Arabidopsis thaliana: one gene and its partners. The protein of the gene in region 1 interacts with the protein of each later gene in a pairwise test. Each region holds a gene or a part of one and is shown on either strand. Other genes may lie near its edges. The genes, in order: GATA14, WHY3 and AT1G47655.

Evidence for each region.
Region 2: the proteins of GATA14 (region 1) and WHY3 interact in a two-hybrid assay, tested with the Arabidopsis thaliana proteins (one large-scale study listed by BioGRID).
Region 3: the proteins of GATA14 (region 1) and AT1G47655 interact in a two-hybrid assay, tested with the Arabidopsis thaliana proteins (one large-scale study listed by BioGRID).

The regions. Positions count from the first base shown.
Region 1 is NC_003074.8:16,535,506-16,538,814, forward strand, and holds GATA14 (GATA transcription factor 14), read left to right. Parts: upstream 1-2,032; coding exon 2,033-2,188; intron 2,189-2,268; coding exon 2,269-2,727; 3' UTR 2,728-2,800; downstream 2,801-3,309. UniProt on the Arabidopsis thaliana protein: Transcriptional activator that specifically binds 5'-GATA-3' or 5'-GAT-3' motifs within gene promoters. May be involved in the regulation of some light-responsive genes.
Region 2 is NC_003071.7:767,727-771,822, forward strand, and holds WHY3 (ssDNA-binding transcriptional regulator), read left to right. Parts: upstream 1-1,607; 5' UTR 1,608-1,662; coding exon 1,663-1,894; intron 1,895-1,991; coding exon 1,992-2,092; intron 2,093-2,178; coding exon 2,179-2,271; intron 2,272-2,649; coding exon 2,650-2,744; intron 2,745-2,832; coding exon 2,833-2,909; intron 2,910-2,988; coding exon 2,989-3,077; intron 3,078-3,147; coding exon 3,148-3,267; 3' UTR 3,268-3,509; downstream 3,510-4,096. Other genes in the region: AT2G02750 (Pentatricopeptide repeat (PPR) superfamily protein), read right to left, coding at 3,915-4,096. UniProt on the Arabidopsis thaliana protein: Single-stranded DNA-binding protein that functions in both chloroplasts and nucleus. In chloroplasts, maintains plastid genome stability by preventing break-induced and short homology-dependent illegitimate recombinations.
Region 3 is NC_003070.9:17,523,371-17,526,886, forward strand, and holds AT1G47655 (Dof-type zinc finger DNA-binding family protein), read left to right. Parts: upstream 1-1,971; 5' UTR 1,972-2,066; coding exon 2,067-2,696; 3' UTR 2,697-2,938; downstream 2,939-3,516. UniProt on the Arabidopsis thaliana protein: Transcription factor that binds specifically to a 5'-AA[AG]G-3' consensus core sequence.

The DNA of each region.
Region 1 (3,309 bases):
CTAATTGGTTCACTAAATATCCAGCAAAACGACATTTTCACCAACACGAGTTGAAGATGTGTTTTTGTATACTAGAAATGTCTATGAAGACCAAGTGTCGTTAGCTAAATTGGTAAAAACCCTGGGCGAAACTTAGAGGTCGCTGGTTCGAGTGACGCTTGGGACAAAATTAATATTACATGTCGTGGTTTCGGGCCTAGGAGGATTACGGGTTTCGGCCCAAAACCTCTTAGTATTCGAAAAAGAAAAAAAAATTGTCTATGAAATGACTTTGAGTTTTGCCCCTAAGAGACACTATAATGCGGATCCAATGGGCGGGACTAACAATGTATTGGTCCTTTCGAGCGGTCGATAAATTTTAACGTCTTGATCATAGAGTAATTTTGGTGAGACTTGTCTACATGTTGCTTCTAGATTGGAAAGAGGAAAATCACTCACATAATTACGATGAAATAGATTAGATATTCGTTTTCAGAAGTTTACTTTGTTTTAGTGCAAAGAGAAAGTAAATGTTAGCACAGTGATCTTTCTTCCACTACAAAAAGTTGGAATCCAATTGATTCATTAATAATTAACCCTTGAAGGAATAAATTATAAAGTATAACAAATTAATAACAGATTCCTGGCTTTTGGTTAGTATCAATGGGTGGCAACTTACATTAATTTATATTAGTAGGACAGTAAATAATCCGACCATGCTGTAAACATTTCACCATTTGTCATCATTTCAGGGTTCTATTTAACTTTGTGAATAACAAAGTGGATTCAATTTATATGGTAGAATGAATCATCAACTTCATAATCCTCTTGCCACTTCGGATAAAATTATATACAATACAAATAAAATACAAAATCATCTGAAATAGAAGCATTTAGATATACATTAAAACACTTTTCACCCTCTATTTCGTCAAGGATGACGTTTTACTGATTTTCTAAATACTTGACAGCGTTTCTAATTTGGTTACAAGAATTATTACTCTTTTTCTGTCAACAAATATAAAGCATATATACAAAAATTGAGAAAGATTTGTTGCCGAGAGGATAGTGAAGTACATCGTAAGTTAAAACAGAAAAAGAGGTTTCTATGGATTAATCAAGATTCAAGATTCAACAAATATGAACTTTCTAAGTTAGTTCACAAATTGCTGCAAAAAAATAAAAAAGTTAGTTCACAAATCAATTATGATAGATACCAAAGAGCTAAAGACATATGATGTTTTAGAGAGTTTTTTTTTTTTCATTAGATGGGATGTTTTACCGCCTTTTATGCAATGTTTATTATCTCTTTTAACGTAAAAAACAAATATAATCTCTTTCTTTGCATGTAAATTTCATTAAATAACAACACGATAATTCTGTTTATATTACATATACATTCGAATCAAATACTAAATTCTTATCTGTGAGAATAAAGAATCTATGTTTCCATATTATTCATTGTCCATTAATTTCGTTTTTTGCTTAGGATAGTATTAGTACAATAATTGTTCTGAATAATGTATATTTTTATTTTTAAAAAAGGATAATATAAAAATTAGATAGATTGTGTCAAATATTTTTTTATCCAAAATTCTTAGGATCGGACCTAACCGGATGAAATTTGATTAAATCAAAACACGAATAGAAGCCGAGCCAAATCAAACCATTCTCACACCCCAAACACCGTGAAGGCGTGAACCAACCTAAAGTTTGATTAACTCCGACCCAAATCCGAAAACACTCTGAGAGCAAGCCCTTCTAACCGTCTCTAGCTTCGCCCCTTTGTGTAACTCGGTTTAAATTCACCAAGCCGATCGTAAACAAACCTTGTTAACCGAAACCAATCATAGAAAGAGTATCTGAAATATGCCATGCATGCATATTAGTTTTATTACCTTTTTTATTTTATTATTTTGGTTAAAATCTTTCGACCGGAGAATTCTAAGGCAAAGAAACTATCCACTTCCCTTATAACTTTATTTAAATTCTATTTTTGAGGATATATATATGAGCTATATGCATATAAAGTCAACTTTTCTTTAAGAAAAGAATGTCGGGTCGTGAAGATGAAGAAGAAGATCTTGGAACTGCCATGCAGAAAATTCCCATCCCTGTCAACGTATTCGATAAAGAACCCATGGATTTGGATACGGTTTTCGGTTTTGCTGATGGAGTAAGAGAGATCATAGAAGATTCCAATTTACTAGTGAGTTTCCTTCAACTCTCCAAAACATGTTTTGGTTTTGAATAAAAATAAAACTCATCAATGTTCTTTTTACCATGTAGCTTGAGGAATCTCGAGAGTTTGATACAAACGATTCCAAACCGTCTCGAAACTTCTCAAATCTGCCAACCGCGACAAGAGGTCGTCTTCATGCACCAAAACGATCTGGAAACAAGCGAGGAAGACAAAAAAGACTGTCTTTCAAGAGTCCATCAGATCTTTTTGATTCTAAATTTGGCATTACCGACAAGAGTTGTTCACATTGCGGGACGAGAAAGACTCCGCTATGGAGAGAAGGACCGAGAGGAGCGGGAACGCTATGTAACGCGTGCGGGATGCGATACAGGACAGGTCGGCTACTTCCCGAGTACCGCCCTGCTTCAAGTCCGGATTTCAAACCTAACGTTCACTCCAACTTTCATCGAAAGGTTATGGAAATCAGAAGGGAGAGGAAGTCATCTCCTCCGAATAGCTTCGGTTTCTCGGAGTCGTATCATTCAACTAGGAAATTAGGGTTTTGAACTACTTTGTTTTTCTTTTATAAGTGTATAGATAAAACATGATATTTTATGTAAATGAGTTTTTTTTTTTTTACCATCTAAATTTATTATATATTGCAAATTATGAGAACTGTTATATAAACGATTTTATCACGGACAATTCCTTTCGACTCTCATTAGATCCACGACAGACGACACCTCCTTCTCCTTTTTCTTCTCCATGCTCTTGATGAACACTTCAATATCTTTTCTGCGTAGAATCCTCGCGAATTGATATAATTGTACATCGTGTGAAATCTCCTTCACACTTGCCTCCATTAATTTATAGTTTTACTTTTAGATGAGTTTAAAGACAAAACACCAAATCATATAGTACAAGTTTGAACGATAATTATTTTACACTTTATAGCAATCGTCTTTTCATTATTGAATAGAATTTGATGCCTTGAATCTAGTTCTGTTCTTCAATCTTAAATTATGAATTCCTTTTTCTATTATTTCCTTTACAAATGTAAAAACCTACAATTTCAGCCACTACAATTCACATGATGAAACAATTTTAAGAAAAACAAGTAATCTTATAACTAAAGAAAACAAGTACAT
Region 2 (4,096 bases), on another chromosome or scaffold:
CAATGCTAATATATAAGATACATTGACTAATCTACTCATTGTCAACACTAATATATAAGATACATTAAAATGTTGTTGATTTTTAACTTTTTAATGATTTTATCAGATTTTAGGTATAAACAAATGAATCATATTTACTATTTTAATTAGAATTTAGATGTTGATATAAGACTACACTAGATTTAGATTCAATTTGGTTGATTAGTTTTTCTTTCAAATATAGTAGTTGATTTGGTCACGATTAAATGAAATTATGGAGTTGTTCAAAAAAAAAATATGCAGAATAATTTTCATTTGTTGATGCATATCATCGTAGATTATATAAATACATCTATTGTTTGAATGTTTAATTGATAGATCAAATAGTGAAATATGTATAGAAAATGATTACAAAGCAATAACATTATAGCCAAAAGCAATAAATTTATATGCTACTCGATGACATGTTAGAGAGAAGAGGCAAATTAATGACACTTCGACTCTTGAAGAACGAATTATTCAGTAATTATCTGTTGTTTACAGAAGTTTTTTTCACGTCGAATACATTTTTTTGGAAGTTACAGTTTTATAAAAGAACTTTAATCTTAGAGAGACTTTGTTTTTGTTTTTAAAAAAAATACATAATTAAGATTTTAATATAGTTTCTGAATGTTATCTAATACTTTAACGACACAAGAAATTTGTTAAGTCATACATTTGTATATAATCAGATTTAACTATTTTCGAGATTAGCAAACTTTTGACTTAGATGTTGAAAAACAACAATCCATCCATTAGAGTATCTCACGAAACTGAATAGTTATCGTGTAAGCCTAAATCTAGTTAGAGGATGTAAAATTGTTACTTTTTCTGCAGTTGAGGTACAAAAGTTCAATCAGTTTAGTTTTGATGTGTCTGTAGATTTCAATATACACTTTTTTTTTAATTCTTTTTAATTTCAGATCCTTGGGAATGAGTCATCTATAACGGTTTAATTGCATGGTTCCCCTCATTAAAATTGCTTGGGAGAGGACTTACTTGCTGAGTGGATGCATCAAACTCTAACGTCAATAGTTTTTTTTTTTTTTTTTTCGCAAACACCATTTTAAGTCAATAGTTGTAACTAAATACAACAAATACATTTTTGTTGAATTAGATTATATGTTTTGCAAGATTTTTTGAAACTCTGGAGTAGCTAAAAAAAAAATAGTATGCAATATATTTTTTTCTATTGATGCGTATCATCGTACATTATATATTTATATATTGTTTGATTGTTTAATTGATTTATCAAATAGTGAAAATATGTACAGAAAATGACTTAAAACATTATAAGTTAGAATCAAGAGCAATAAACTCATATGCTACTGGATAATATGTTCAAGAGAAGAGACAAATTAATGATGCACAAACTCTTGAATATGAAATTACTAACGTCGATTCTTTTCTCGTTAATGTTTATTTTCATGTTTCGAAAATGTTTATTTTCATCTCTTGTTAATGTCTTGCAAAAGTTGGAGGGCTTTCTTATAAACGTTGGTTATATTGGGGCACATTTGTAAGATGTTAAATATGATTGGGTAAAAAACGAATTAACAGAAAGTATTCTCTCCTAAACCCTTTTCGTCATCGTAATCCCGCGGTGAAGAAGACGAAGAAGCATTGAGAGTGAAAAGAAAAACAATGTCGCAGCTGTTATCTTCTCCTCCAATGGCGGTTTTCTCCAAAACCTTCATAAACCATAAGTTTTCAGATGCTCGTTTTCTCTCTTCTCACTCAATTCTCACCTCCGGTGGATTCGCCGGAAAAATTATTCCTTTAAAACCGACGGCGAGGTTGAAATTAACGGTGAAGTCTCGACAAAGTGATTACTTTGAGAAACAGAGGTTTGGTGACTCGTCTTCTTCGCAAAACGGTAGGGTTTTCACTCATTGTTTGAGCTTTGAAAAATGGGAAGCTTTGAAATTCAGAAAGTTTGAAATTTTGTTTGTTTGTTTGTTTTGGTTTTATAGCTGAAGTATCTTCTCCTAGATTTTACGTGGGTCATTCGATTTACAAAGGGAAAGCTGCTCTTACGATAGAACCACGAGCACCAGAGTTTGTGGCTTTGGAAGTATGTGTCTTTGTCGAAGATCAAAAACTCTATTGTATTGTTTGTTTGATCTTAGATTGATCTCCATTCTTCATGTTCTGATCCAGTCTGGTGCGTTCAAGCTGACAAAGGAAGGTTTTTTGTTGCTCCAATTTGCTCCTGCAGCTGGTGTTCGTCAATATGATTGGAGTAGGAAGCAGGTTTGGTTTTTATCTTTCACTTACTACTTCATAGATTGTGATAGAAGAATTCATGACTTGATCTGGTGAAAGCAGCAGCCTTTTGACTTTCTATAGTGTTTGTGGTTAGTTAGATATGTTTGATTTGAAATGTTGCAGGTCTACTTTTTATCATGAACTTGGTATTTATAGATTGTGATGATGAAAATCAATTGGTTTGGTGAAAGATATTATGATTGTGGTAAGATTATGTTTTGATGTAGAAAAGATGTAGGTTTGGATCTTTAACTTGGTAGTATATGGATTGTGATAATGATCATGATTTGCTTTGGTGAAAGAAACAGTCTTTTGCTTAATATTGTGACTGGTTAAATCATTTTTTGATGTCGAATGATGCAGGTCTTCTCGTTGTCGGTTACAGAAATCGGTAATCTAGTTAGCCTTGGGCCGAGGGAATCATGTGAATTCTTCCATGATCCATTCAAGGGAAAAGGGTATGATTTAGGATTTTATTTCATTACACAGATAGTGTTGTTCTCTGTAGTTCTGATTCGTAATCAATGTGGTGTTGGTGTTGAGTAGTAGTGATGAAGGTAAAGTGAGGAAAGTGTTGAAAGTTGAGCCGCTCCCAGATGGTTCTGGCCGCTTCTTTAACCTGAGTAAGCAAAAGCTTTATTCCTCTCTTCTTCTTTATTTTCGTCTAGCTCTTCTGATTTCAACTGTTGATTTTTCATGAAGGTGTTCAAAACAAGCTCTTGAATGTAGATGAGAGTGTATACATACCAATCACTAAAGCAGAGTTTGCTGTTCTTATCTCTGCTTTCAACGTAAGTTCTCTCTCACACACTCTTTGTGAGAAGCTTTCCCCGTTGTTCTAACTGTATACTTGAATTGCAGTTCGTCTTGCCGCACCTTATAGGCTGGAGTGCATTTGCTAACTCCATCAAACCAGAAGACTCTAACCGCCTTAACAATGCTTCGCCTAAGTATGGAGGAGACTACGAATGGAGTAGATGATGGAGATTAGAGGCAATCTTGCAAACTCGGTTTTTCGGTCCATACCATCTTTTTGTTGTTGCAAATCAATGAGTCACCAAGAGCTGTTCGAGATAGAGAACGGAAAGAAAAGCAGCAGCAGAGACTGAAGTAGTTTAGACCAAATGGAATGTGTTGTTGTGTAGGAAATAACTTATATTTTGTGTTAGACAATCTGTATTCATTCAAAAGCAATCAATTACAATTTTGCTAATACAAGAATCAGATACTCATCCTCTTGTCTAGTGTTTACATATAATATTTGATCACAAAGGATCTAATACTCTGATCTCTTTAGGGAGCATAGACATGCTCTCGATTCAGAGGTCATAAACCAGCTCATCCAATACAGGATTGGATTCACGGTATAGAAGAAACTAAGGGACCTAAACAAACAAAGATAAAGAGATCATCGTGCGGATTATCGCATTCAGACATTAAACCGAGTGTAATACCCCGCACACTGAGCCGTTTACCTTTGTTAGTTTAGGTCCTTCAGTGTCTTCCACACTGTGGATGTAAACCTAAATTGGTGAATCACCTGCTTTACGAGACCCGAGTCAAGAGCAAGTCAATACTCCCCCAAAGAGATCCCTGCCTTTGCTCATATTCGACCAGTCGGCATATACTTAACCAGACAAACTAAGACCTGGAAGTTTCACCAGTTGCTTCTGATCTATTACCTGCCTGATACTTTCCACATCTTCCCATCTTTCTAATGCAGCATATATACTGGACAAGATCACAAATGGAGCTGGATTCTCTGGCTCTAACTCTGCTAGCTTCATTGCCGCTTCCTCTCCAAGAACTG
Region 3 (3,516 bases), on another chromosome or scaffold:
CACATGTGTTATATCAATAATATCACAAAAATTCCTATTCCCACCACATTTGCTGAGGCACAGGACACCAAAGAATGATGTGAGGCTGTTGATGCAGAGATTGGTGCTATGGAAACTACACACACTTGGGAGATTACTACTTTACCTGCAGGGAAGAAGGCAGTAGGGTGTAAATGGGTATTCAGTTTGAAGTTTTTGGCAGATGGCAGTCTTGAGCGGTATAAGGCTAGATTGGTTGCTAAGGGTTACACTCAGAAAGAAGGTCTAGACTATACAGATACTTTCTCTCCAGTGGCAAAGATGACTACAATCAAGTTGTTATTGAAGATTTCTGCCTCTAAGAAATGGTTCTTAAAACAGCTTGATGTGTCTAATGCTTTCTTGAATGGTGAGTTAGAGGAAGAGATTTACATGAAGTTACCTGAAGGTTATGCGGCAAGGAAAGGTATCACTCTACCTCCTAATTCAGTCTGTCGATTGAAGAGATCCATTTATGGTTTGAAACAGGCCTCTCGTCAGTGGTTTAAGAAGTTTTCTGCTTCATTACTTGATTTGGGTTTTAAGAAGACACATGGTGATCATACTTTGTTTATTAAAGAGTATGATGGAGAATTTGTGATTGTTTTGGTTTATGTTGATGATATTGCTATTGCGAGTACAAGTGAAGGTGCTGCAATACAATTGACTCAGGATTTACAACAGCGATTCAAGTTAAGAGATCTTGGGGATTTGAAATATTTTTTGGGTCTTGAGATTGCTAGAACTGAAGCTGGTATTTCTATCTGCCAGAGAAAGTATGCTCTTGAGTTATTAGCATCTACTGGTATGGTTAACTGTAAACCTGTTTCAGTTCCCATGATCCCGAATGTGAAGATGATGAAGACTGATGGTGATTTGTTGGATGATAGAGAACAATACCGTCGTATTGTAGGAAAGCTGATGTATTTGACAATTACTAGACTTGACATCACCTTTGCAGTTAACAAGTTATGTCAGTTTTCCTCTGCTCCTAGGACGTCTCATCTTCAAGCTGCTTATCGAGTTTTACAATATATCAAAGGCAGTGTTGGCCAAGGTCTGTTCTATTCTGCATCTGCAGATCTTACTCTTAAAGGTTTTGCAGATTCAGATTGGGCTTCCTGTCCAGATAGTAGGAGATCAACAACTGGATTCAGCATGTTTGTGGGTGATTCATTGATATCTTGGCGTTCCAAGAAACAGCATGTGGTTTCCAGATCTTCTGCAGAGGCTGAGTACCGTGCCTTAGCACTGGTTACGTGTGAACTGGTATGGCTTCACACTTTGCTCATGTCTTTAAAAGCTAGCTACTTGGTTCCTGTGTTATATTCTGATAGCACAACTGCTATTTACATCGCCACAAATCCTGTGTTCCATGAAAGAACGAAGCATATAGAGCTAGATTGTCACACGGTTAGGGAGAAACTAGACAATGGCGAGCTGAAGTTGCTTCATGTGCGAACTGAAGACCAAGTAGCGGACATTCTTACTAATCCGTTATTTCCCCATCAATTCGAACACCTTAAATCCAAGATGAGCATTCTTAATATCTTTTCATGCACATCTTGAGGGGGCATATCAGATATGTATATTGGTTTAGTTGGTATTAGTTGGTTTAGTAGAACCATTGTATAGTGTAAAGTATATAAGACATTTGTACAGAATCATTTTACAATTAATGAGAAAAGGCTTCATAATATCTTCAACAAACTTTTCTCTCATCTCTATTCCGCTAATAATTCATTTTAACGAAGTAAATACTATTTTTAAATCCACTCTCATATTTTAACCATTTTTTAGTTAAATTTAATATAGAAGAAATTATTTTTAAAAAAAACTAAATATGAATTAAATTATTTTTAGAAGGGGAAAATAAATTAAATTCATATGTATCAATTAATAAATAAAAGGCAACTGAAAAAAACGTCTAAAAGCCTCTATATAAAAACCACATCACCACTCTCACAACATCCCCTTCTCTTTCGCTTTCTCTCTTCTCTCTTCTCTCCATTAACTTCTCTCTCGTTTTCTCATACTCTCAACTTAATATGCCGTCGGAACCAAACCAAACCCGACCCACCAGAGTTCAGCCCTCAACGGCGGCTTACCCACCGCCAAATCTGGCTGAGCCTCTTCCTTGTCCTCGCTGCAACTCCACCACCACCAAGTTCTGTTACTACAACAACTATAACCTCGCTCAGCCTCGCTACTACTGCAAATCTTGCCGCCGTTACTGGACTCAAGGTGGTACACTCCGTGACGTCCCCGTCGGTGGTGGAACTCGTCGAAGCTCCTCAAAACGTCACCGTTCTTTCTCCACCACTGCCACCTCCTCTTCCTCCTCTTCTTCCGTCATCACCACCACGACACAAGAACCAGCCACGACTGAAGCGAGTCAAACTAAGGTTACTAATTTAATTTCAGGTCATGGAAGCTTTGCTTCTCTGTTAGGTTTAGGAAGTGGAAATGGTGGGTTGGATTACGGGTTTGGGTACGGGTACGGGCTTGAGGAGATGAGTATTGGGTATCTTGGAGATTCTTCCGTAGGAGAGATTCCGGTGGTTGATGGTTGTGGTGGTGACACGTGGCAGATTGGGGAGATTGAAGGTAAAAGTGGAGGAGACAGTTTGATATGGCCTGGTCTTGAGATCTCAATGCAAACCAACGATGTTAAGTGAAAATGAAACCGTTTCTGATTTCTTGCCTTTGTCTTCTTTTGTTGGTGTCTTTTTGGAAATTTCTGTTTGTTTTCTTTTTTTTCCTAGAAAGAAGAGCAAAAGAAACCAAATTGAAGCAAAAATGTTTTTATTTATTTTAGTTTTTGAGGTCCAACAATTCTGGTGTATAAATCCTCTGTTTATGTGACGAACATATTGGAATGGATTTACAAGTAAAAAGTAAAAACGTTTCTTTCTTTTTATTTTGGTTGGTTAATATTTTGAAAGGAATAGTCAAATGTAGAAAGATGAATTGAGCATAAAAGTCCAAAAAGGGAAAAAGTACATAAGTACTGTTGCAGAAGTGAGTAAGAGATGCTCTGTTGCTACATCTTTGAAATGAGGAAATTGCGTTGAACTTAATTTTGTTTGTATTATAGATAAACATCAACAACAACATTGTTCATTTGCAGTGTAGAAGATTTTGTATATCAAAGTCATGTGAGTCTAGTGTTTAGCATATGAGACAATTCATATGAATGCTAAGAACTAAAACCTTTCATTCGATCAATGGATTAGAAATTCTTAGGGTTAATGTAGATTATGGTGTACTTATCAGCTAGTGTTATTTTTTTGTAAAAATCTTTAGGTTTAATCCTTGTGTCAAACATCTCAGCTAGAGTGTACTTGGTTAAACGTTCAAATAAAATTTGAATGTAGGGAATATAGCTAATAGATATTGTTGTGTAGTCTCCTATTGTGGTCAAAGCAAGAAAAACGAATTGTGTTGAATATAATTAACGGTAACTACATCATGACTATATTGAGAATGATGCTCAAG